Coturnix japonica: one gene and its partners. The protein of the gene in region 2 purifies or fractionates together with the protein of the main gene of each other region. This does not show direct contact. Links are inferred from orthologs where the notes say so. Each region holds a gene or a part of one and is shown on either strand. Other genes may lie near its edges.

Evidence for each region.
Region 1: the proteins of UTRN (region 2) and DTNA purify together in Homo sapiens (affinity purification with mass spectrometry; 3 studies listed by BioGRID and IntAct, with this or other methods). This does not show direct contact. The link is inferred for Coturnix japonica from reciprocal best matches to the Homo sapiens genes UTRN and DTNA.
Region 3: the proteins of UTRN (region 2) and DTNB purify together in Homo sapiens (affinity purification with mass spectrometry; 3 studies listed by BioGRID and IntAct, with this or other methods). This does not show direct contact. The link is inferred for Coturnix japonica from reciprocal best matches to the Homo sapiens genes UTRN and DTNB.
Region 4: the proteins of UTRN (region 2) and SNTB2 purify together in Homo sapiens (affinity purification with mass spectrometry; 4 studies listed by BioGRID and IntAct, with this or other methods). This does not show direct contact. The link is inferred for Coturnix japonica from reciprocal best matches to the Homo sapiens genes UTRN and SNTB2.
Region 5: the proteins of UTRN (region 2) and SNTB1 purify together in Homo sapiens (affinity purification with mass spectrometry; 3 studies listed by BioGRID and IntAct, with this or other methods). This does not show direct contact. The link is inferred for Coturnix japonica from reciprocal best matches to the Homo sapiens genes UTRN and SNTB1.

Annotation. Positions count from the first base shown.
Region 1 is NC_029517.1:97,177,737-97,182,963, reverse strand, and holds part of DTNA (dystrobrevin alpha), read right to left. Parts: intron 4,284-5,227; coding exon 4,194-4,283; intron 3,490-4,193; coding exon 3,321-3,489; intron 2,544-3,320; coding exon 2,411-2,543; intron 1-2,410. UniProt on the Homo sapiens protein: May be involved in the formation and stability of synapses as well as being involved in the clustering of nicotinic acetylcholine receptors.
Region 2 is NC_029518.1:41,330,952-41,336,750, reverse strand, and holds the start of UTRN (utrophin), read right to left. Parts: upstream 3,389-5,799; 5' UTR 3,355-3,388; coding exon 3,261-3,354; intron 1-3,260.
Region 3 is NC_029518.1:95,621,075-95,626,301, reverse strand, and holds part of DTNB (dystrobrevin beta), read left to right. Parts: intron 1-4,017; coding exon 4,018-4,172; intron 4,173-5,227.
Region 4 is NC_029526.1:16,875,238-16,879,857, forward strand, and holds the end of SNTB2 (beta-2-syntrophin), read left to right. Parts: intron 1-720; exon of another isoform or gene 721-726; intron 727-1,226; coding exon 1,227-1,437; intron 1,438-1,557; coding exon 1,558-1,759; intron 1,760-1,864; coding exon 1,865-2,007; intron 2,008-2,087; coding exon 2,088-2,284; intron 2,285-2,605; coding exon 2,606-2,787; intron 2,788-2,870; coding exon 2,871-2,963; 3' UTR 2,964-3,646; downstream 3,647-4,620. Other genes in the region: VPS4A (vacuolar protein sorting-associated protein 4A), read left to right, coding at 4,562-4,582. UniProt on the Homo sapiens protein: Adapter protein that binds to and probably organizes the subcellular localization of a variety of membrane proteins. May link various receptors to the actin cytoskeleton and the dystrophin glycoprotein complex.
Region 5 is NC_029517.1:123,475,791-123,481,017, reverse strand, and holds part of SNTB1 (beta-1-syntrophin), read left to right. Parts: intron 1-1,693; coding exon 1,694-1,910; intron 1,911-5,227. UniProt on the Homo sapiens protein: Adapter protein that binds to and probably organizes the subcellular localization of a variety of membrane proteins. May link various receptors to the actin cytoskeleton and the dystrophin glycoprotein complex.

The sequences.
Region 1 (5,227 bases), on a different chromosome or scaffold from region 2:
TCTTAGGAGCAATATGTGATATTACCCAACCACCTCCCAGTCATCCTAGTGCTTGCTACTATATTCACACATAATTTTGCTTGCTTAAACATCTTCCATAACCGAAAGGGCATCAGATATTGTAGAAAGGACTTCTCACACACATTGCATCCTTTGAATCTGTGGTTATCAACTAAAAATAGTTTTTACTTATAAGTTACTGCTATCAAATAATTGCCTGATAGGAGCTCTCAACGTGATAGACAGTGGAGTACAGTACAAAATTTCTTTTGGAAAAATTCTCTTAAATGGAACTTGTCTGAATAAGGATTTTCTATTGCCTCAGTGAACACATTTCTGTTCATCTCGGTGTAGTCTTGGCTCACCTATGCTCGAATCTTATTCTGACATCATCAGGGAGATCCCCTCCCCTTCTGTGAATGTTGTTGAAAGACAGTACTATTTTTCACTGAAGCAAGAGAAACATCCAGGTCTATTTAGCAACATTTGCAACTTCTACTACACAAGGAATACCCTTATTTTGCATTGTACTCATGTTCTCAGTTTTGCGTGTGCACAAAATGTAACTCGTGTGTCACGTAACACCATCACTGTATATTGTACTTCCATAGCCTAATCAAATTTCAGTCAAATTGGCCTATTACCCCTTCCACAAAAAGAATTTTTACCAGCAATAATAACATTTATTATTTGGTGCTTGATAGTTGTCACTGCTGATGTACTCCGCAGTAACTGACAGTTACTTTCTGCTACATCAGAAGAATCTCAGAAGTTTAAAGACTGTCATCTTTGTCATTTCCTAGCTTGGATTAAAAAAAATGTGACAAAAAAAACCAACCACCCCATGTCATCCACTGTTAGTATACACTGCCTTAGTATATATATCCCACAACAATACTGTTGCTGCTGTCATCATGTCCTTAGCGACCTTTGCAATCCAATGAGTTCTGGCAAGTTACCACGAGCCTGTAGCAGACTGAGGCAAACAAGTTCCCCCAAAATGCTCATCAACCTCAAAAATACCTGCAATTTTGACATGAAACAATGAACTTTTTAAGAATAATTAATTCTAGCAGCTTTACAGAAGAGGCAACTAAAAGAACTGTCATTTTTTATTAGGCCAAGAGCCTGTCAGTCCCAGGATCTTGTCTCCAAAGCGACCATCAGTAGGCACTACAGAAAAACTACCAGCAAATCTCCCATCTGGAAGGTGCTTTTGAATCTGATTTCTGCACAGTTGGTCTCTGTGCAGAAAGTGAGTTTTATATTAGTATGATCCAAATCAGAATAACTTAAAAAATTGTGATAATTTACTACAGCAGGCAGAAATGGAGACTGCTGCACAGGCAGGACAGGATATCTACAGAATTCCAGACCCCTCTGTCAAATTAGCTTTTCTCAGATTCTCGAACAAACGCCCTTTGAAAACTTCCTCAGGGGGTATTTAATGACAAATCCCCAGGCTCCACTATACTATATGCTTACTGAATACTTGGTTCTCTAGGATATAATTCATTCCAGACCCTCTCCTCCCTTCCAGATCCTGAAAATGACAATGACACACAGACTGTATTTAAACTTCAGTTCAGAGTGGAGAAACCATTATGAATGTTTTCAACTACTGGTGGAAAACAAAATCTAAATATAACAAGAGTTTGGCTTAATACCACGAACCAGCCTCTGTGGTATGGAGCATGGAGGTCTAAATGATGTAGGCAAAACTGGCAAAGAACAAGGTGAGAGGCAATTCTGGCCCACCTGAGGGCCTTGGTAAGGATAAAGTTAGGATAAGGATAAGGATACGGTTGTGTGCTTCAGGAGTGCATGCACAGAAGCTACATTCACACATGCCTACAGAAGAGAACAGTAGCAGTTTTCAGAATTTTGGAGTTTTTGTAAAGGTTGGAGACCTGGGCCTACTCAGCCTACAGAACAGAAAACAGGGAATCTAATCAATGTTTATAAATATCTAAAGTGTGGGAGGCATCTGGATGAGGTCAGACTATTTTCAGTGGTGTGTAGTGATAGGACAAGGAGCAATGGCCAAAAACTGGAACACAGGAAGTTCCACACAAATATGTGGAAGAACTTTACAATAAGGGTAAGAGAACGCAGGAATAGGCTGTGCAGAATGGTTGTGGAGTCTCCTTTGGAGATATTTGAGATCTGTCTGGATGCCTACATGTGCGACCTACTGTAGAGAATCTGCATCAGCAGGGGGTTGGACATGATGGTCTCTGAAGGTCCCTTCCAGGCCCTGCAACTCTTATTATTATTTGAATATGGCTGCTCTAGTGACTGAGAAGAGATCACACCCCAGGGCCCAGGACAGGATAACAAGGGCTCTGGGCAGGTCTGGCATGTAATTATTTCTTGTTTATGGAGTGGTATGGTCAGCTCCTTTTCTCACCTGGTACGCCTCATCCTGCAGCTTCTGCTTCAGGTACTCCTCCATCTTCAGTTCATTCTCCAGCTGGCGGACAGAGTCATTCTCATAATTTTCATCATCTGCTCTGACAAAAGGATCTCCGTCTTCTGTAACCCTAAAGATGATTATTCACAAACAGGCTCCTGAGATGAATGACATTCAGAATGAATAACAACCTTCCTCTATTGCAAAGTTTGAGGACAGCAGGAAACCTCTGCTCCAGCACTGTTTACTACCAAGTAAAAATGTCCTGGAAGTGGAAAACACTGCTGATATTTGCTCTTTCCAATGGTCTTGTATTGATGAGGTAGACCAAAGGGCATATTCTGCTGAAGGTGTTTTGGGTGTATGGAAATGAGTCCTCAACAACTACTTTGAGAGTAAAATAAAGAGTAAGAGACTGAACTAAAAATAACTGGAAGGATGCCTATTGATATGATTCTGGTTCTAAAAATAAATTGGTTTGTTGATCAATTGAGTCGGTCAGTAAAAAAGCATTCTGTCTTCCCCAGAAAAAAAAAAAAAAACCCACCTAAAAAACACTATTTCTTTTTTCAGTGTGCTCCAATAGGTTCTTAGGTCTGGATAAGCAGGGATTGGGATTGCAGAGCATATTAAGGGGCACAGCTGTCCCACAGTCTCCCCACTGCCTGAGTGTCCCAGAGTTGACATGAGACAACTCACACCTGAAGGCATTCAAAGTTCTGGACTTTCAAGTGTACTTACTTGAAAACAGTAGCTTACTACTGTCTATTCATAAAGCTGTCCTCATTTGGATTTAGGCTTTTTTGGGTATTCAAATAGTTGAGAGGGTGAGAAAATATTTCATGCTGCATACTGTCTTCAGCAGAAAAAGAATGAGATTACAAAGGTGAATCGAGCAGGTACCCACATGTCACTGCGCATGGATCCAGTGGCAGCAGCACTGTGGATGTACCCTGGCTTCCGGGCATGGATCTGCGCAAGGAAAGCCTTCTCAGATGTTGGAGATGGAACAAGGTCATCAAAATGAGTCCGTCCAAATTCAGAATCCACGTTACTTTCTGTCTCACTGCCCACTTCTGTGAAAGCAAAGTTGAGAGATGTTTCCATTTAACTTTCACAAGATCAAGTGTGCCAGTCTATTCCTCTAAACCTTTCTCTGTCTTTCCAGCTTAGGGTGGTCAACTCATCACAGTGAATGCAGTAGAAAATAGTAGAATACTATTCTACATGTATCTGTAGATCTGGCTGTCTTCTTCTTGTGGTGGGACAGAATAGTGAAGCTTTTGCTTATTTAGCTCATTAGATAATATTTTTATGAGTATACTATATACTGCATTTTACAAAAGTTTCTACATGCTCTATATTGACTGCAATTTCTAGAGACTGAAATCCCTCTTCCATGCCACCCCAGTCATCTCTCTAAATGGAAACTTCTCTTTATGGAATAGAAAGTTGGCATCAACCAGGGTGCTTTCACAGCCACTGATGTTTTCTTTCAGGTACAACCATTCCCTGAAAAGGCCATTTCCCTAAGAAACAAGGGGCAAACTTCTCAATGAATTTTTGTTGCCTTCATCTGTATCTTTACAACTATGGCTTTCAAAACTCCTGAATTCTGAAACTGTTATTTGGAGACTTCTTTTTCTATAAGCATAAGAAGCTTTGAAACTACATTATACTACTTCCTTTGTTGGTCTGTATGCTCTTAGCTCTCATTTGTTACAAATATATATATGAAATATCAATGTGTTGACTATCCACCCTCTTCAGCCTCACGCACCAGAATTTAGTTCTTTTACCAAAGAAGACATCGTGTTGGTGATTGAATCTGCTGCCACCAGCAAATCATTTCTTAAGTTTCGTCTTGCACCTGAAGCAAGAGACAGACAAAACAGTGTTAATATTCTTCACAAGACACATATTTTCCTGTTCAAAGCAGTGTTAACCCTGCTGAAAACTGCCATTGTGATGATTCACGGTATCAAAGACCTTACGAGGTACACGTGCAGAAGAGTTCTCTGCAGAATGGCCTCATTTACTTATGCTCTATGCAAAAGCATAAGCCTCCCCTCATGCTTCATTTAATCACAATGCCAGATATGTGGAGATTATTCATTGCCATCAAGCTTGCATTTGTGCGGTGACACCAGCAGACCAGGCCTGCAAGATTAAATCCAGCATGAACTCATTTAAAATGTCTGTGGGGGAGGAGGAAAGAAATGAAGTGTTTTCTATAAGTTCCCACAGTTCTGTTTAATGACACCATTATTGCTAGGTATTTGCCAGATAATTATGGCAAATGTTGAAGAAACACACTTGACCTCATCAAGATTGATATGGATTTTCCTACTCTGCTCCCTCTCAGCCTCTGCTCTGGCTGAAGGATTTTTTTGTATAATTCATAATTTACTTTTTTTTTTTTTTTTTTTAATAAAAGAAGCACTATTGCCTCTCTTAACAGCCCCAGGCTGCTTTTAAACTCTTTTTAATAATGAATCTAGAAGTGCTTCCCCGCTGGACCTGGCAATATTCCCTTAATCATCAATCATGAAGGATTCTTGTGAGCTGCATGAAAAACTCCTTCCCTAGGAGCAGGCTGTTGGTAACGTATGTTTCACTCCCCCAGATCCCAAACATAGCTCCTATTGTGGCCGAATAATCAGTATATCCCACAGAACCTCATGTCTTCCAGACTGCTTTATTCACAGGAACGTGCAGGATTCAATTGCTGTAGATTCTTCAGAATGGGCTGAATGTAAAATAACATATTTAAAAAGCTCCAAACCCTAATGTTTTTTTCCTACTCCTTTATTT
Region 2 (5,799 bases):
CAACTACTGCAGAGTGCTACATGAGTTGGCATTTTATGGAAGCTGAGCCAGAGTGAACCCTTAAGAAGGGTTTAAATAACCAGCAACTTTTTTCTACCTCCTTGATGTGGGGTGAGGAATCCCCTCTTCAAGTGGCAGGGGGGCATTCACCTTGATAATTAGGCAATTAAGGTAAGAAAAAATAACTAAAAAAAACCCATAGAAAATGCTGCTAGGTAGGGTATGTATACATAAATATGAACACATTGTAGCCCAATAACTTTCCTGGAACAGTTTCAGAAGTTTTCCTGAAAGAACGTAAATCCTTTTTCACAGCATGGAACAGCAAAGAACAGGAGAGATGTGCTCATATCCTCTCAGGTAGAGATTCAGATCTGGCCATGGCTGGGCACCACACAGTCTACCACCAGTGCCTCTGCACTTGCAGCACTAACCTGAGAGGCTTTCCAGGTTTTTAGGAGATTAAACCTTTTTACATAAATAAGGACATCTCATTACAAGAGAAAAACATATTTAGCATGAGTATGTTTCCAACTCAAACATAACATGCTCATTGTAAAGATCTGACACTACAGTTTCCACTACAGGCTACCCTGTGTTGTTTTCCAAAGCGTTTAACACTACTTCACAAGTTAAAAGCCACATCAGAAGTACTTCTGGTTTTGACAAATTCCAAGATGAATTAAGTCACTCCCATTCAAAGGACAACAGTAGACAGCCTTATGACAATCTTAGTTTGGATAAGCAATGCTTACATAAAGAAGGGGAGAGGAGAACAGCAGGCAGTTATTAGTTCGAATCCCCCCTGTGGCGCAAGTGGTAGAAGTGCCGCTCTGCTACACAGAGGCTCGAATCCTGGGGGCTGGACTCGATGATCTCTAAGGTCCCTTCCAACCCGCACGAAACTATGAAACAATACCAGCCATGCAACCAAGAAACAACAAGCAGGTTCAAGACCACCCCCCAAAAAAATGAAAGTCTCTTTTGCATGTCAGGTTTGGAATAGAGGAGTAGAGAGCCTCCTCCAACCTTTTTTCTATGCTGTTCAGTCTTCAGAGGATGGAAAACTTATTCAGTGAGGCTTCACCTGAACTCACCTACATGTGCACATTTTTCCAGATATTGGCTCCAATCTCGCTGCTCCCAGCCCCCACCACTTCTCACACAGCTGTGTTTCTTGTCATTCAGGAAATCCATAGCATTTGAACAAACAAACCAACAAGACCAGAGCTGCACCTCTGCCAACACTGCAAAATTTACAAGCTAATAAATAACCCTTAAACCTTCTGGCCAAAGAGCTGAGTGCACACAAGCTGTACATAAACTTCTCTAAACGTCTCCCTGTTATTTATATTCTGGATTTATGTGAATGCTGACGAGTGTGAAGAAACAGTTACACACCACTAACTTTTGTTTACCCTTTTTTCCCCACATTTCTAGCACTGAATTACTGAAATTACTGAAAATTCAGTCTTGTTTGGAGAAAGATCGCTTCTTGACCCTACCCAGAGATTTCACCTTTCACTTTCAGTTTTTAGTTCTCTAGTCTTCTCTTCCACGCCTCTCTCCTTCTACCTTCTTTTCTTCTTCTCTGTTTATTTCTCAATAGTCTAAAGTCACAAGTCTGTCAAAGCCTCCCAATGCAAAGTGGAAAATGTGTATAAGACTGAACAGACAACAGTGAATTTCAGAACGTCAGTCTCTCAGAAAGCAAGTCTACAGACCTCCACTTTATGAAAGCTTCACAACATTGCCATACAGGAAATTTCTTAGAAAAAATCCTGATGTTTGATGACAAAACAACTCCAGTTGCAATATACCGGCCACGACATATATGCTTTCAAACACAGTGGGCTCTCAACTCATAGGGAACTACTGGCCTTTAAGAAACAGTCGCTAAGCACTTCCTGCTCAAGCGCACTAACAAATGCAAAGCCATCCTTAACGCTAAAGAGTTTCACACACCAGTGTGTGACAGACAGGCACCAACAAAGAAATCAAACATGCACAAAAACACCACTTTGTCCTATCTGCATACAAAAGAAATCAACTGAAGGTGTATCTCTTTAGCAGGATGAATACATGGATTTTGAAGAACACCAGATATCTGACCTGCAACGTTACAAGTTCTCCAGAATCACAGTGAAAAGCCACCCTACTCACTTTACAGATTTCTCTCAACATTTTCAACTGCTCTAACAGTTCATGTTGAGCCGTAAAGGAAAAGTTTTTGATCTCAGATCAGCTGGCATAAATCCAAACACATTTCATTGTTATAAAAGCAAGCTCATGTAAGACCAGAGCTTCAGTCCAACATTTTATTTAAAATTAGCCATCTTGCCACTATGTCTCAAGAAGTTTTTCTTTTCTTGCTGTAAGAAAAATTCAGACTCCAGCTTTCGTACAACTACATATATCATGTCCAAATTCAATCTGAATGAAATTGACTGCTGTTTCTGTGGGTTGGTCAGTTCTACATCAGCATAGTCCCAGTATCAATTCAGAAAATAATCAGTGCTCATCTGACAACCACTGCCCCTAAAGTGCATACTCTCAGGAATTAGGAATCTCCAAATTCACTTCTACCATGCCAGCCTAGTTACAGAACATCGCAATAGTTAACTCACGAAATTTCACCAGGGATGGGTGGGACAGGACGGCCAAAAGAAAAGGAAAGGGAAACACTCCCAATTTCTTCTCCTCTTGGGCATCCTGGCCCAAAAAATATTCCTTCTATCATGCAGGAAATACTGCTCCTTTGAAACAGCATCAAAATTAAAAAGAAAAAACCTCAAGATTGAAAGAACTGTTCTAAATATGTAGCTTGAAAAGTCCCAGATAAGCAGGAACATACAGAATAAAGGCATAATCAATACTAAATCATCATAACAATGTATTGCTTAACAAAAGTACAGGTAAGTCTTTCAAGTAGGGGGCTGAATTGGCTGAAGAAACAGCACTTCATGCATAAAAGGAAAAGCTGTGACAAGCATTAAGGAGCAGGTCCTGCAGCAGCAGCTGTTGAACAGCCATGGTTCTCAGTGCTTGCAGTGGAGCAGCATCCAAAACCAAAACACACTATTAAAAATCCTTCCCTTGAACTGCTTTCTGTCATACCTGCAACTACCTGCTCCTGCTACATCTAGCAAACCTGAACAAAATGAGTAAAAGCAGCTCTCATATATAAGATAAGAACAGATCCATGTGGCTGGTGATTTTACCAAGTACAGCCTTGAAAATACATTTAAGCACGCTCTTACCTAGCGAAGGATAACAGCTCTGCATGGCAGTGTCCCGTGGCACAGCGACCTTGTACTTTTTCCATGCAACTTTTTTGGCTGTTTGAACACTCATGATGAAGCTCGCTCTTTGAATAACAGGAAAGTGAAGATGGAGAGGAAGCGCACACTAATACCCGCAACAAGAACAGCATGCTGGGATCTGAGGGGGAGGGAAGCATTGGTTTTCCTCAGAGGGTTTGACACGTTCACTTACACAGCGACTGACAAATCAAACAGGAAACAAACCTTCTTAAAAAAAAAAACAAAAAAAAAAACTGTGCACAAATGAGTAACAAGTTTCAGCCAAATTAATGTTTTCTCCTCTTTAAAAACAAAAGGGCCAAGACTTCAGCATAAAGGCTCTCCACAAGCCTCCAAATCAAGGCAAAAAAAAAAAGAAAATCACAAACTTTGACTAAGTATGCAGGTACCACTGTCAGGCAGTTCCAGTTAAGTAAAGCAAGAGGCTAATGAGGTAATGCTGTGACAGAAGAGTAGTTTTACAATGGGCCTTTAAACTATGTTTATCAACAGTATAGAATCTAATCCCTTGACCTTCAGCATCCTGTTGTCAATGTTCTAATCAAATGGAGAGAACGTTCAATCCTATCGCTTTTAAAGACATGTCATTCCAAACTACATGCTAGAATACTGAGCTGTACAGTATTCCAGCAGTCACAAAAAAGCAACGCAAGAGAAGACTAAACATAACACAGAAGCACAGGTATCACATTCAGAGAGGACCAATACATGAATGAATTGGCTTCTGGAGCAGAAAAGTAGATGCTATTTAATTTGCCTGTATTGGTGCGTTATGCAATAAGAATAGTTCTCATGAGCAGCTTGTGTAACACAGTTTACTGTATCATATACCTGACAGACACAAACGGGGGGTTTAATTTAATTTAATTTAAAAATACACTAAAGGAAAAATCTTGATTTTTATTTACTGGGAATAGGAGTCAATCTTGCTTTGTTTTGTGAGTTGTTTTTTCTTTTCCCCTTTCCCTCCAATTTTAGGAATTCCTCAAAGTTGAAGACTGAAAAATGCATACAAAAAGAGTTTTGTTTCCATGAATAAAGACAATCATACATTCATGGGCCTAAATCAGGCTTTTGTGTTCAAATGTTCCCATGGAACACTCAAGCAAAGACTATCACGCAAGCAAGAAAACACTGCTTTAAATCTAGGACTCCTATTTTAGAGACAAACCAAAAATAATTTATTTTGCCATAGCAAATGCAAATCTAAACTTTATAATGTGCTTAAAAAGCACAAGACAGAGACAACACCAGTTCTACCAAGTATACAATTAGCAGCCAGCCATGCATGCATGCCAGAAGCATTACCAACCCAACAGCCCTGCATTCCCTACGAGAGCCTTCCTGTCAATTCAATACATCATCTCACTGTTGCACACTATCTCTGTCTCTCCCCTCACAATGCCCATACCCAAATTAAGATCTCCTCCAACAGGCATGTGAAGGATATGCTAAGTAGCAGAATAGTCAACTCCTGAAGCAACACTTCAAGCTTCCTCACTCCTTAACAAAGGAGTGCAGCCTGTGAGGGCAGTTAGATCCACACCATGCCTGAGCCTCTCACCGCTCTCTGAACTTCAGAAATAAGATATTAGAGGTATTGAGGGAAACTATTAATTCAACCCACACTCTGGAGCTTTGACTGTCACTGTCAAATACACACCACATACAGGATAAAATACTTTTTTTTCCCTTTAATCTAATTACAAGTTTTACTCCAAAAATCCAACATTTCAATAATATTCACCAAGAATATTTATTAAATTAATAATACTGGTGGGGGTTGTGGGGGGTGTTTTTTGAGGGGATAGTTTCTCTGTAGTTTAAACAAAACGTATCTTGCCTAGATGAAGACAGAACTAACAATATGAATTCTCATATCCAAAATGATCTACAAAGAAGTTAGCTTAAGGAAGGCTTTTTTTTTCATGCTGAATTTTAAGTGAGGGTATGAATTCTGTCCAAACCTGCAATATTGGGGTGTGAAATTCATGCATTAACCACAAAAGCTGGTAAGCAAGAAAAAAATGGAAGCTCTGGAGGAAAGCAATTGAAAAAGGCTAAAGAGATCATTTATAAAAAAAAAAAAAAAAAACCTCAAGAGTTCTATGCACTTGCACATACTATCCATAAACACTTCATTCATTAGAAGGTCTATTCCTACTACTACTGAATTCAGTAGGCTGTTTATTTAGCAGCTCTCTTCTAGAGTATGTGCTCTCATTTGTTCACATTGGTGTTGACAGCAGTAATCAAATTTTGTACATACCACCAACTCTATTATAGTTCAACAGTAGATGGCTGCCTGCCTAGTCTTCTTATCATCGTGTAAGATAAAAAAGACCAACCAAACAGACCAGCTGAAACTGCAATAAGAAGCAAAAAGTAGAGTCAAGCCAATGTAAAATTGTGTCATCAATAGAAATCACTTTTATGCTTACCCATCTACTACAAATTAAGAAGAAAAAGGCTAGGC
Region 3 (5,227 bases), about 54 Mb from region 2:
GTAGAAAAATGCAAAGGATTTCTGACTGATACAGGCTTCTTGAGTTTCTGAAAGGGCTTCAAGTATCTCTTATCAAACAGATAAAAACATTGAAGTCTTGAAAGGGATTAAAGGAAGGTCCTTTCCATGTGTAAGATTTTAGCTGAAAGGAGCCCAAAGAAGAGCAGTAAAAAGGTGGGTTAATAGTGCTGGACTTAAACTGTTTTTAACGTATCATAAATTGTCTGGAAAAATACAGTGGAAGATGACAGTCTTTTGTAAAGTACTTTGGTGTAGTAAAAGCCAAAATAGACTGTGAAGAGTTGTAGCATCATCTGGCAGTGCTGAATAACTGTGAATGAAACGGTAGCTGAGATTCAGTGTGAATTTATGTGAAGTGGTGTGTGCTGGAGGAGTGAGGTGTCATCCTAATGTCATGCACAGAAAGGTGAGCTCAGGAAGCTGTTACTGCTGAGACAGATCTTGGAGCCTCTCCTGGAAGACTGATGCTCTATTTAGTAGTGGTTAAAAAAGTAATGAAGTGTTGTGACCGAGAGGGAAGGACATGAAGAACAAAACAGGAAGATTACAGCATTGTATAAGTCTATGGTATGTTTATGCTTTGTATGAGCACTGCTGTGGTACCTCGCGCTCACTCTTCAGATCTGCTTTATCTTTCCTGAGAAGAGCAGCAGTCACCAAAGTCAGAGCAAGCTTTCTGTACAAGGAACAACTAGACTGAGAACAGGAACCTTCAGCCTGGATGGGAAGCAAAATGGTGGTGAAGGGACAGTGTTCTGACAACACGTTTGTGGTAAATAGAAACCAGCTGCTCCGTTCCCCTTCCAAGACAAGGGCTGAAGGCACTAAGTGAGCAGGCTGTCAGCTCAGCTGGACCATGAGGCTTTCTGGAAATCCAGGAAGTTGTAAATATTTCTTGTTCTCCTCTCCGAATTTGAGTGGTAGTCGCTTGGTCTCTGTACTTGCATATGCATACAGGCTTTCTTTCAACATTCTGAAAATGTGAGCAAATTGAGGTTGTTCTTTTTCCAGACCGTACAGTGTCTGACAGTACATATGAATGGAGTTGTTCTATGATACCGCTTTGCTTTCAGTGGGGAAGATTATTTCCAGTGACTGACACTCCTTGTGAAGAAGTTGCTTTACATGATGTGCAAGGAAGGAGTTATAAGCTCAGCCTGTTGCTATGGGCTTAGTTTTTTTGCATCACGTTTTTTAAGCTAGGGAAATACCATATAAAGATGATGAAGTTTGTGGATTTGAGTGACTTCATTTTGGCATACAAGCAGATCCATAGTGAAGTAATTAGTGTTTCCTTCCATGTCCTTTCTGCAAGTAAATTGCAAACAGAACCTGGCTTCAAACAAATTCCAACATTGCTTGTTTCAAGGGCCTGCATCCCAGTTGGATCATAATGGCCCCATGGAACATCAGGACCAGAGAGCACCCACATGGGCAGTCTTGTGACCTGGGTTTGTTCCCCTCTCTGGGTGAATGATGATGAAGGCCTGCACTATCTGCACCAGACTGATGGCCTCTCCAATGCCAGGTTCTCAAATGCAAATCACTACATCTTCATCAAATAGCACTTTCCTCTGTGTCCTTCACAGCCTGCTTGTAGGTTTTGGTGTACTGTTATTATGCCTTCCCAATAACTCAGTCTTTTCCAGGCTGAACAAGTAATGTTTCCTCAGCCTGTCCTCGCAGAATAAGTGCTCCAACCTGCTGGCCATCCTTGTAGCCCTCTACATTTCAGTATGTCCTTCTTATTCTGTGGTTCTTGGATATTCTGTGATTCTGGTGGTCTTAAAGCTGGACACAGTGCTTGGAGGAAGTGTAATAGGTTTTGAGGGGCAATCCCTGCAGGCATTCAAGGCCAGGCTGGATGTGGCTCTGGGCAGCCTGGGCTGCTGGTTGGCAACCCTGCACACAGCAGTGGGAACTAGATGGTCATTGTGGTCCTTTTCAACCCAGGCCATTCTGCGATTCTATGATACAATAGGAGCTTTTTTTCACAATGTTCATCAAGTTCTACTCCATTTTACGTTGGTATCTTTGGAATTGAGCAGTGTTTTGGTGTTCGTTTTTTATTTTCTCTAGTAAAATGAGAAAGTGCAGAAATATGTTTATAGTGTGGTTGCACTGAACTGAAACTTTGGATGAGAATTAAAGTATATTACCTTGTCATCAGGAAACTTAATTAGTACATGCATGATGTGACCTTAAGGTGGGATCTGGAGAAATTACCCTGTTAGCTCCTGTTTAGCTTGAGGTTTTCTCTTTTAAGGTAATTTAGTGCCCTTTGAAAGGGAAGATGACTATTTAATTAAATCCTATGAATCTTTATCTTTTCCAATTTCAACCACTAATTTCCCATGTGAAAGTTTCCCCGTGTAGATGACTTCAACTTCATTTTGACTATAAAACCACTTGGGTTTCTTTTAATTTATTCTTGATATAGCTTGTTCATTTCTATCTCATTTTTCATTTCTTTCATAGCTTTAATTACCTTCTCCTTAAAATCATTTAAATCCTGCTCGCTGTTGAAATTAGATTAATAGATTGTATTTACCCAAATGATTCTTGTGCTTTTTTTAAGTACAAGTACTGTCATGTTGCAGTCATGTTCTACCAGTCTCACCTTAATAGACTGATTACTGGACCAAGTTCATCTGCCAGTTCTGGTCTGAATCTGATCTTCAGCATTTTAGGATTGTGAAGCTTTTGCTCTCTAATTAGTTCCACTTATTTCCACGGCTTCTCTTCCGTGTTAAATTTTCCATTGAAACTTGATCTTTCTGATTGGATTAGTTCTTTAAAACACAGCATTCTTTATTCATCTACCTTCTCCCTTTCTTGTTTGTTTGGTTGTTTTTTCCTTATTTCTTGTATGCCCTGTAAGTCCGTTTAGCAAGGACTTCAGACCTTCCCATCAAGCCTGTAAATTTTGCCTGATACAAACCCCAAGCAGTTGTACCACAGAATCATTCAGGTTGGAAAAGACCTCCAAGATCCCCAAGCCCAACCCATCCCACCACATCCCTCAGTGCCACATCCCCCAGATTCCTTGAACATCTCCAGGGATGGTGGCTCCACCACTTCCCAGGGCAACCTATCCCAATACTTGGTCACTCTTCAGAGAAATTTTTCATGTAGGAAGAAGCACTGTAGGCTTTTTCATGAGCTCAGTCCTTCATGTCTCTAGTTTACTGGAAATACACCTTTCTGAAGTCGTCTTTTTTACAGACGTGGCTTTGATCTCTTAAACTAAGCTTACCTTCTGTCAGCGCATCCTTTTTGATGTTTAATTACTTACGGTGTCTTAGATAACCTCATAGATGATTCAGAGGCTGCTTAGTGAAGCATTCTGGTATCTGTCTTGTCTTCAAACATTTTAGGTCTTACTAATATTAGAGAAATCTTTCTTTATAGTGTAACCTGGCTGCAGTTATAGCAGAGACCAAGCTTTACTATTCAAGAGTGTGTATTTTCCAGAGAAATTTTTGCCCTGCGGACAGTTCTGCTTTATCTACGTGCAGCAGTCTTAGCATTTCCCATGACATAATCTTCCTCCAACCCTCCCTATCCATCTTTTACTATATTTTTACTTTCAGAGCTATATTTTTACTTGGGAGCTCTGGGTTAGCAGCGTGGGATGGGTAGGGCAGCGGGGCTGGAGAGGTGAAAAGGTTCATAGAATCCTTAAGATTGGAACAGATTACTAAGATCACCACGTCCAACCACCAACACATCCCATCCTGCCCCCTAACCCTGATGTCCCACACTGTCTTTCTTCTCAGTGCTTTTTCATATGGGATGGTGGGAATAGAGGGATTTATATCATAGCACACTGAAACTTGGTCATTGATAAATTTTATCTTGATATCAGCTAAGAAGAAATTGCGCTTAGGATTATACAAAAGGAGCAGTGCTTTGCAGTTCAAATGAACTGAAATCATTAGGCTTTTCTGTCGCAAGCATGCATTTACTCAAAGGTTTTATTTTATTTCCTTACAGATATTTTCTCTCAAATATCAGACTCAAACGGACTAATGATATTTTCCAAGTTTGATCAGTTCTTGAAAGAAGTTCTGAAGCTTCCGACTGCTGTGTTTGAGGGACCTTCTTTCGGATACACGGAGCATTCTGTACGGACGTGTTTCCCACAACAAGTAAGAGCTAATTCAAAGCAGTTTCATTTCTTGTTACTGCAGTTGTGAAGTCCTGACTTCTTTGGGTATAGCTTGTATGGGGTTTGCAGGAAGGGGGATTTGGTGGCATACTGTGTGTTAAATAAGCAGATTTAATCCTGAATAATTTAAAGTAGTCCACCTAGGTCTTAAGGAAATAAAGGACTTTGCACACATTTAGTGTGTTCTCCAAGGAGCACCTTTGAACACCTGGGAAGAACATTAAGGATAACCTATTTTTGTCTAAAACAGGAAGCACAGCATTTCTACCTTGGAGTTTTTTTAGGCTTACCAGTAGTAGGAGTATTATTTTCAACAAATCAATTGTTAGTTGGTTTAGTCTGCACAAAATAAATGCTTCTGCAGTGTCAATGTTTCTGTTATGATTTGATTGTTCCAAGAAATTGCTTCTAATTTGAGATGTGCAATAGCTTAATTAAGCCTTAATTCTAATGTAAGCATAAGCCTAGATAAACCTAGACCTAAACTTAGATGTTTAGGCTGTGATTGTGATTGCATTCTAAGTATTTCTCAAAGTTTTTAGGTTTAGAATTTGTAGTCATTTTTTGCTGAATTCATATTGCTTAGGAATTCGTATATTTGAAATAGAACACAAAAGGAAAGGGCCTGTAATTGGTGAAGCATCTTTGGGTAATTCTTTGTTCCCAACATCATACCACCCTTCTTCTCAAGCTGCACAAGCCACTCCTGCATGTAGGGATATGGATACTGCATTTAAGGGGCAAATCATGGACTCATTTGAGACCTACTCAGTCAAACATCAGATTCTTAGCTGCATGTGCTCTGTCTACAAGGAGAGATATGAGACTTGCCTGAGTTTTGTCAAGATTGCTGCCTGAACAACCTGGTGTCCTTCTATGATGGCGTGACTGTGTCAGTGGACAAGGGAAGAGCCACTGATGTTGTCTATCTAGACTTCAGTGAGGCCACTGGCACAGTTCCCCACAAAATCCTTCTCTCCAAATTGGAAAGACATGGATTTGATGGGTAGACTGTTCAGTGGATGAGGAACTGGT
Region 4 (4,620 bases), on a different chromosome or scaffold from region 2:
TTGACTGCACCAGCACCACCCACCCAAGCATTTGGAACGTTTTGGTTGCACATCTGGTGCTGTATGGGTTCCCCAAGGACTGCAGGGTGCCCTGTGCAAGCCATGGGAGGTGGGCATGAAGGATTCATCCAGCAGCTCCCGCTTCGGGCTCAGAATCCTGCCCAGGGAGTTTCAGGGATGTGGTTGCCTGTGCTGCCGGTTGCCAGCAGCACGGCTCAGAGCACAAAGGGCTCAGCGCTCACTCCTGGGCAGGGAGCAGCAGCCCCAGCGCTCTGCTCTCCATCCCCAGCCCCAGCTGCAGGCTGCCAACATCTGGCTGCCAGCTGTGAGCCGCCTCAGGGGCTGCCGCCGGCGGAGCCCCCGTCCACAACCATCCATCCCAGGCGCTGCCCTGCCCGTGGGGATTAGAGGTGCGTGGGGAAGGAGTAATCCGGGGATAAGCGCGGCGGGAGCTAATATTATCTCCTGGTGCCCGCAGCAAGGGCAGCGCATCCCGTCCAGCTGTGTGCCGGCTCAGCAGCACCGGGCGCCCCGCGGAGCTCCCACCACGGCCTCTCACCGTCTCCTGCGTGCGGGGAGCTGCGCTTCACAGCTGTTTCACAGCAGATTACCGCTTACTCGCTGCTTTTTTTCGCTTTAATTCCCTGCTGCCCTGCGGCCGTTCCCTCCCTGCTGAGGGGGCTCCGCTCTCTGGCTGGGCCGCCCGCTGCTCGGCGTCACCCCCCGCTCTGTGCTCTGGCACGCAGCGCTCCCAGCATCTGGAACGCATTGTGTTGGCTGTCCCTGAACGTGACAGCGGGGAGCGGCGCGGTGACGGGACGGCACTCGGCGAGTGAAGGATTTTGGTTTCCTGGCGCCTACCATGTGTTTGGGGAGGGATGGTCCGCGGGGACCCGGAGTGATGCGTCCTTCCTTCCTCCCAGCCCGGAGAGGAGCGCGGGGCCGGGACGTGCTGGCTGCAGGCACCATCCCGGGGCCGTGATCGCCTGCGGCGCTGGAAACTTGGCCGCAGCGTGCGGCTGGGTGGGCAGGATGGGCAGGATGGGCTGCAGGCTGACCTCCCGCCCGCACCATTGTGCCGCACCGCCGAGCCCTTCCGATCCCCGCATCCCGATGGCAGCGGGGTGGGCCCCGTGGGCCTTTGGTTCCCGGCAGGGGTCGGCACTGGTGTGACCCCGCGTGGCCCCTCTTCCCCCCACCCTAACAGCGACCCCCTGTGTCCGCAGTGAAGTTCATGCGGGAGGTGACGCCCTACATGAAGAAGCCGTCGCTGGTGTCGGACCTGCCCTGGGAAGGGGCTGCCCCGCAGTCACCCAGCCTGAGCGGCAGCGAGGACTCGGGATCGCCCCAGCACCACGGCGCCCGTGACCGCAAGGTCATCCCGCTGAAGATGTGCTTTGCTGCAAGGAACCTCAGCATGCCCGACCTGGAGAACCGGTGAGCAGGCGGCGTTCGGGAAGCGCTTGGCACGTGTCTCTGTGCCCCCATCCCGGCCCCATTGCTGGCAGCACGCCTGCAGCCGGGCTGGCCCCGTCCCAGCGCCCCGTATCCCCACAGGCTGATCGAGCTGCACTCGCCAGACAGCAGGAACACGCTGATCCTGCGCTGCAAGGACACGGCCACCGCACACTCCTGGTTCACAGCACTGCATGCCAACATCACGGCGCTGCTGCCGCAGGTGCTGGCGGAGCTCAACGCCGCACTGGGTGGCACAGCCGGGGGCCGGGAGGTGAAGCACGTCGCGTGGCTGGCAGAGCAGGTACGGGTCTGTGCTCTGTGTATTGGGGGATGCCATCCCTGGGTGGCACCGTGATGCTGGGGAGGTGGCGGCTGGAGCTGCCCTGTCACTGAGCTCCTCATCCAGGCACGGCTGGATGGTGGGCGGCAGCAGTGGCGGCCGGTGCTGATGGCGGTGACGGAGAAGGATCTGCTGCTGTACGATGCCATGCCCTGGACGCGCGATGCGTGGGCCTCGCCGTGCCACAGCTACCCGCTGGTGGCCACCAGGTACCGGGATGGGGACTCCTGCAGGAGCTGACCCCTCACATGGGATGGATGCAGCACCGATGTCCCCCTCCCGTCCCCAGGTTGGTGCATTCAGGCTCAGGCCGCCGCTCGCCCTCGCTGGGCTCCGAGCTGACCTTCGCCACACGGACGGGCTCACGGCAGGGCATTGAGATGCACGTCTTCCGTGTGGAGACTCACCGGGACCTGTCCTGCTGGACGCGGGTGCTGGTGCAGGGCTGCCATGCTGCTGCTGAGCTCATCAAGGAGGTGTCTGTGGGTGAGTGCACAGCAGCACCGGGGCTCTGCCCGTGGGACAGGGAGTCCCCAGCGGTGATGGTGGTGTGCTGCATGATGGTGGCGTGCTGCATGATGGTGGTGTGCTGCATGATGGTGGTGTGCTGCATGATGGTGGTGTGCTGTATGATGGTGGTGTGCTGCATGATGGTGGTGTGCTGTATGATGGTGGCGTGCTGCATGATGGTGGTGTGCTGCATGATGGCGTCTGTGCCTCCTCCAATGCTTGGGGAAGTGTTGGGGTGTCTGGTCTGACTGCAGCCAGGTGCTGGGGGCAGAACCAAAGCCGTTCCTGTTCCTGCAGGCTGCACGCTGGGCGGCCAGGAGGTGAAGCTCTGCATTCACTACGAGGGCGGCTTCACCATCTGCCGCGATGAGGCGGGCGGCAGCGTCCTGTACCGCTACCCCTATGAAAAGCTGAAGTTGTCAGCGGACGACGGCATCAGGACCCTCTATCTGGACTTTGGAGGCCCAGAGGGGGAACTGGTGAGGAGGGACCCCTATCCCGGCGTGCCGTAGGACTCGGGCTGCCCCCACGCTGTGACAACGTTCTCCCTTTCCCTCCACAGGCGCTGGACCTGCACTCCTGCCCCAAGCCCATCGTCTTCGTGCTGCACACCTTCCTCTCGGCCAAAGTCACCCGCATGGGGCTGCTGGTGTAGGTGACGGCCCTGCCCCCCCCAGCTGCCTCCACAACACAAAGCAGCCGGGGAAACATGGAGCCCCCACCGCTGCCTGCCTCTCCGGTGCCTTGGGGTGGGGGCTCCTCTTCTGTGGCTCAGGGGGAGCTCAGCGTTATCCCCCGTCCCCAAAAGCCATCTCTGATCTCACCACCTGTGCCTTGCGGCGGGGCCGCTGCTCCCCCCAGGGGCTTCACTGCGTGTTCCTCCCCCAGGTGGGACCATGTTGGGCATCATTTGTCCCCCCTGGGAGACTTGTCTTAAAAATGTGGGCACTGGGGGCACTCTGGGACCTGGCGCTGTGGTGCCGGTATGGGCAGGGGGCTCAGTCCCTGCCGTGCTGCGATCACAGGGCGGGTGCTCCCCAAGCTCTCAGAGTCTGCAAACGAGCGCTGTTCCCTCCTGGGCTGGGGGCACAGCGGGACCCCTCTGGGCCTCGTGGCTTTGGGGAGGGATACGTAGATCGATGCACTTTTGCTTTTTGTACTTTACCTCTGCCCCTGGCAGGGGATGGTGCTGCTGGGGGATCCGCTGCGCCCCGGCCCAACTCCTCTGCAAACGTTTCTGCTTCCCACGGGCTGTGCCGGGAGGGCCTGGGCTGCAGAGTCCCCACCCAGCACAGCCCTTCTATTTTTGTACTCTTTGTAAATCGCTATTTATACAGACTGGTCATGTGTGGGGTTTGTGATCGGCACTGCGGGGAGCGGCCGTGGGGGGCTGTGATCCATGGGCTGTGATTGATCTATGGGCTGTGATTGATCCATGGGCTGTTATTGATCCATGGGCTGTGATTGATCTATGGGCTGTGATTGATCCATGGGCTGTGATTGATCCATGGGCTGTGGGCCCTGTGGGTGGTGGGTGCTGTGTGTATGTGGGTTGTTTTTTTGCTGTGGGTGCTGTCTGTGCTGCACATATACACATACATACACACACATACACACACACACACACATGCTGCACACACACTCACTGTTCATGCTGTCTTTGCATAGATGCCTGCAGGAATACACACACGTGTGCTGTTTATATGCTGTTTTGTGGTTGCACTGTGTATGGTCCGCAGTGTGTGTACATGGACACACCTGTATACATGGATCCATCTATATACATACGTACGTGTGCACACACGTTGCACACGCAGTTCGGGCTGTGCACAGACAGCAGCTCTGCATTGCATACAGTGAGCAGAGCAGCAGGTAGCGCACACACACACACACACACACACACACACATATATGTGTATGTACCCCCGCAGTCTGTGAGGTGTGTGTGCACTGTGAGCCCACACAGCGCCGTGTTGGCGCAGAGCCGCGATCTCGGCCGTTCACATCCCGCTGCTCCCGGTGCAGCCCCGCGCACCGACCCACGCCACGCTCACACCGACTCGCGGAGCGCGCTGTGCGCATGCGCGTGCCGTCCAACGTAGGCCCCGCCCGCCCCCTGCAGTACCGGAGGGCGCCGCCAGGGGGCGCCGTGTCGGCCGCGCACAGCCGCAGTCGGGCCGGTCCCGCGGGCCCCCGCCGCCGCCGCCGGGCCGGGTCGGGTCGCTGCGGCTGCGGCCGCCACCGGGCGATGAGATGACAACGACCACCCTGCAGGTACCGGCACCGCCCACCGGCACCGGCCGCCAACCGCC
Region 5 (5,227 bases), on a different chromosome or scaffold from region 2:
AGAAGAGATTCACCAAATCCAAATGTGTTCAGTCTCTGAGATTCCCAAAGTACACCCCAAATGAGATGCCAAATCTGTACGGCACAGACAAAAACTACCCGTTATCAACACCTTTGAAGAAGAAGTTGTTTATAGAATTCTCAGTGGTGAGCACTTATCTTGGGACTTAGATGGCCACTCTTGTTCTCCATTCTGAGTATTTCCATTGCTTTCATTTCAAGCATCAAACAGTTCCATCTGCTTTCCTCCTTCAACATAATGCCCTTTTGTAATTTTCCCATCTTTTTGTTATTAAATCATTCTTGGCCTCTTCAACAAAGCTGACACAATGACCTGCACTATTTCCTTGAAAACCTCTCTCTTGGCATTTGAATAACATCACCAAATAAGTTTGCATTACTCCTGCCCTTCCAGCTCATCCCGTCACTGTTTGAGCGGCATCATTGAGTGACAGGAGCCAGTTAGGCAGCCACGTTTGTGCTGGTGGGACATGTTCATTTACACAAGGTGCCTGAAGGTGAGGTCCCTCCTTGGAGGATCCCCACTGAGAATTAATTTCTGCATACAGTACAAGTAAGATTGTTTGGGATTACTATATTCATTGTATATATATTTGCTACTATATATGTTGAAAGAGGCTGAGAAAAGATCTGATCTGGCACCATGATTATCACAAAAAGCTTGAACTCAATTTTATTTCCCAAGAGAAGGCTAATAGGTGAATTGATTTTTGTTTACTCCAGACATGTACATACAAGTAAATCAGCTGAAACTGCTTCCCAGCAAGCAGAAGTAGCTCTTGAGATCAGTGACAGGATGCTGACAGGCATAAACCAGGAGTGAGATGTGAGTTCCCAGCACTGGGATATCACTGGAGCATTTTAGATAAGTGAATAATAGATACACTGTTCCTTCATTAAACGTTCTTCTTAGAAACTTCCCTGTAGCTCATCCAGATCACCACTTCTGTACCTAAAAATTGCTCCATGGGAGTTCAGAGCCTGCTGAGCAGAGGTCAGATGGCACTCCAGGCTTTACGCTCCATGGATCCTTATGTTCTTTTTTGTCCTATTCTGTTCTTTCCTCCTGTTTTGCTCATTGTACTGTGCTGAGATAGAAAGGCTGCAACCAAGTCTCAACCTTTTGTATTTGCATAGCTTTCAGTGCTGTGATGCTGGGCATACGAAGGCTGCTCCAAAAGTAATGCCTCCTCTTTTATTATGTTGGCCCACAATGTCAGAGGCAGATGTTGGTGATACGGCAGCAGAGGTGGAAGCTTTGCACCGATATTCTGTTACATGTTCTTGTTGTGTGACAGATGACAGCAGAGGGACAGTCTGATCAATTGGTGTCTAACATGGAATTGTGTATGAAGCAAAGGTGTGGAACTGAATTCTGCTATGTGGAAAAAATGACACGCGTTGACACTTGCTGAACATTTATGGGGTCAAGATGGTAAATGTAGCACAGTGACGTGGTGTGTGGTGCATTTCATCAGTGGCAGCAGCAATGTGGAAAACAGGCCATGTTCAGGATAGCCACACGTGGCTGTCACACCATGAAATAGAGTGGCCAGCATAAAAATATTAAACAGTGATGAGAGTTAGTGCCAGTTCAAAGAATTATCAATAAATGGAACTACTGAACATCCATTCATTCTTCTCTTTTTCTCCTCTTCTTCTTTTCTAAATAGTGAAATACATGAGAGAAGCAACACCCTATGTGAAGAAGGGCTCTCCAGTTTCAGAGATTGGATGGGAGACACCTCCTCCAGAATCTCCCCGCCTGGGATGTGTGTCTGCTGACCCACTGTCACAGCTTTCGCTCTCCATCCACAGGGACAAGAAGACAATACCACTCAAGATGTGCTATGTGACACGCAACATGACGGTGTCAGACCCTGAAAACAGGTAAGCAGGGGGTTTATTGTAGAATCATAGAATCATTTGAATTGGAAAAGGTTCTTAAGGGCCATCTCATCCAACTCCCCTGCAGCGAATAGGGACAACTACAGCAAGATCAGGTTGCTCAGAGCCCCATCAAGCCTGACCTTGCATGTCACCAAGGATAGGGCCTGCACCACCCAGGTTTTGAGTGGGGCTGGGATTTGCATTAAATAGCCGTTGGCCTCTCCATCTGAGGGGCTGGGATGCAAAAGCTGGTGATGGGCTCTCACCCTTGCAGTGAGGAGCAAGAGGGCACTGATCTGAGAACAGAACATCCTTGTGACTGAGTTGAGTGGTGCTGGGTTGAGTGCACAGCTCTGTTTAAGGACACACATGTCAGCTTTTGGGTTGTGCTAGAAAAACTCTTGAGAACAGTAATTCAGTGTTTTTGTTAGAAATAGAATCACAGGTTTTTGTTCTTGTCCTGATGAATGTCTGCATATTCTGAGCTGGTTTAGTCTAATCCCAGTAAATTACATTTTCTTTTTGGTGTTTTTTTTTTGTTTTTTTTTTTAAATGAATATTATTTTAAGAACAGGCTGTTTTATCCATTCAGTTCTGGGTATTCAAGTCAAGAATAGGAGAAAAGTTCCACTTACAGGGCATTAATGTGGAATTTCTGTGACTTCTTGGTTTTTTTTCATAATGTTAAAAATAGGATGAGCTTACTAACCCCTATTTATAACATATGTGGAACAGCTGCACGCTGTGATAGAAAAGGGACCAGTCAAATCTATAATACAGACTGATTCTTCCATTCACATAATGGCATTTTTGTTTTTCTTGTCTGCTTGCTTATCAAGAAGCAGTGTGGAATGCTTTTGGTTCTCAGCAGTTATGTATAGGCATGAGCAAAAAGTACATTTTCATTTGCAGGGTTCCAGGGGATGGGTTCCCCTCTATTCTCTTCTGCCGTTCAGAAACTTTATAAGTATCCATGTAATTTTATTTCTCTCTCTCTCTATATATATATATGCATTTGTTGGACCTTCTTAAGGTTTTTGCTTTTCCCTTTGCAAAAACCTCCAGCTTTCTTATTTAGTGTAGCTTTGCTTTGCTGCTGCTCTTCATCTCACCAGCTGGGTACTGCTACAAAAGTACAGTTACAAAACAGCAATTACTTCTACCAGTCTTGCTCAATTTTGTATCAAGATGACTGTTGATAAGAGCAGCTTTATTCACATAAATCTGTCAGTTTAAGATGTCAGGGTCTGACAGCTGTATCGCTAGTCTGGGAGTTTGTAGTTCTCTGTGCATTGAATGTGTTGTAAAAAAGCAGGCAGGTCTTGTCATTTGAATCAGCACAATGTCGTGATGCTTTACACATGTTGACGTGATACTTTCAGCATCTTTCTCTTCTTTGTCTGTATTGCAATTCTCAACTTCTATCACTCTTGGTCCTCAGCTTCATGTAAAAGATAGGAGGACTGATTCAGAGAGGCAAACTCTTGCTGCTGATAGTACTTCTGTGATGGTGCTGACTTCTTTGGGGTGTGCTACAAGTGTACATTATTAGGTGTAACCAGGAAGTAATGCGTGGGAGAGTCACACTGCTTACTGTCACGGTTTTCACTTTGTGCTGCTCTCATTTCCTGTGGAAAGAGTGACTTCTGATTTTTACAGTATTCCGACACAATGGGCACTGTAAGTTGGATTTTTCCATCTAAGCACACGGTACTTCAGAATCATGGTAGCTGCAATGCAGTAGTAGCGTCTCACACACTTGTGTCTTTGCTCATTTCAGTTTTTAAACAACTCTAAATACTGGCACTGGTATTTCTCAGTGGAAATGCTATTATAATGCAATGAGCCTTTCCCACTGAAATCTATCCCAAGATAGTAATCCGATCCCACAAGAATAATTGGATCTTTGTTCACAGCAGGGACCAAACCGTGTCCTTACATGCTTATGACACTTCTGTTTCATAACTGAGTGACCTGACACATATAGATCTTATAACCGACGGTGTCACTTTGCGGTGCAACTTTAGAAGAGCAGCACTGACATGCTGCCAAAGCATATGCTGACCATAAAAGGTCTCCTTTGAACTACATCTGAACTTATTTTCAGGTATTGCCAAGACTAAGTGTGGATGTAGTTAGCATGAGGTGTCCATTGCAGATGTTTCTTCAGCACTGGTCACAGCAGTGTGGTGAGAGCAAGCTTAGCTGGTTTGACTTTCAACACGAGATGGTACCTATTTTAAAGGATCCAGGAGAAAATGCCTGTTTGTTAACACTGAATCACCTTCACTTCTTTGAAAGTTGTGCTGAAACATGGGTTTAGCAGGCATGGAGGAAGTTAAACTTCTGGCTTTCCCAGCAGAGCCGGTGGCCTTGCATTGGATTTCTGCTTCTCCTTTTAGATCAGAGTCAGCTGAGAAATTACTTATTTTTTATCTATCCTCTAATAGTTTGGTGAGCTTGTTGTTTCAGCACAGAAGTGAGATTTGGTGCCTTTGGAGCCAGTGGTTCTCGGAAGTCTACTTTGCCCAACCTGCCTGCAAGTTCAGCCTTCACTGAGATAAGGGATTGTTTTCCCTGTTAGCTGATTAAAACAGCTGTAAGGTATCAAGAAGAAAATCTCATGTAATACAAACCAGCAACAAGCCTGCGCGTGTAGGAAATTTTGGACAGTACAAACATGGCAACAGTAAAAAACACACAGAGCATTTTATTTACATCTATGTCAGTTTCATCTAGACACAGGAGCCGTTGTTACATTTTAGTCTGGAATAAATAAGGTTAACACAATTACCACTTATGTCCGTTGTTTGCCTGTGTTGTCACTAGTGAGTGTCCTTGGTGGCGGCACTGATGGTTAATGTCAGAACACACAGGAAAGCGTCCCCCCCATTGAGGGGGCATGTGGGAATGGTCACAGCTATTAATACCAATAAGCAGTAAATCCTACTGCAGTATAGAAAGCTTTTCATCAGCTTCTGGTGATAATTGTAAGGAATAGTAGGGGTGACAGTAAGGAATAGGAAGGTGCGGTAAACTGGGATCCAGTTACTGCAAATGCAGCTGGAGACTTAATTGCTTTGATTAAAATAGGGTGGGTTTTTTTTTTTTTGCATTAATAAGTATTGATTCAATAAACTGTTTGCAAGATTTACCTCACAAATAGTGCTCTTCAAATTGGCTCCTTTTGTACACATACTTAAAAAAAAAAATAAAATTATGTTCTTAACATTTTTTAATAACTTGTTAGTAGTGAACAGCGACAGAGTCGGTGAGACTGAAAATGACCCCATCTGGAGTACTGAGTTCTAGAGCCC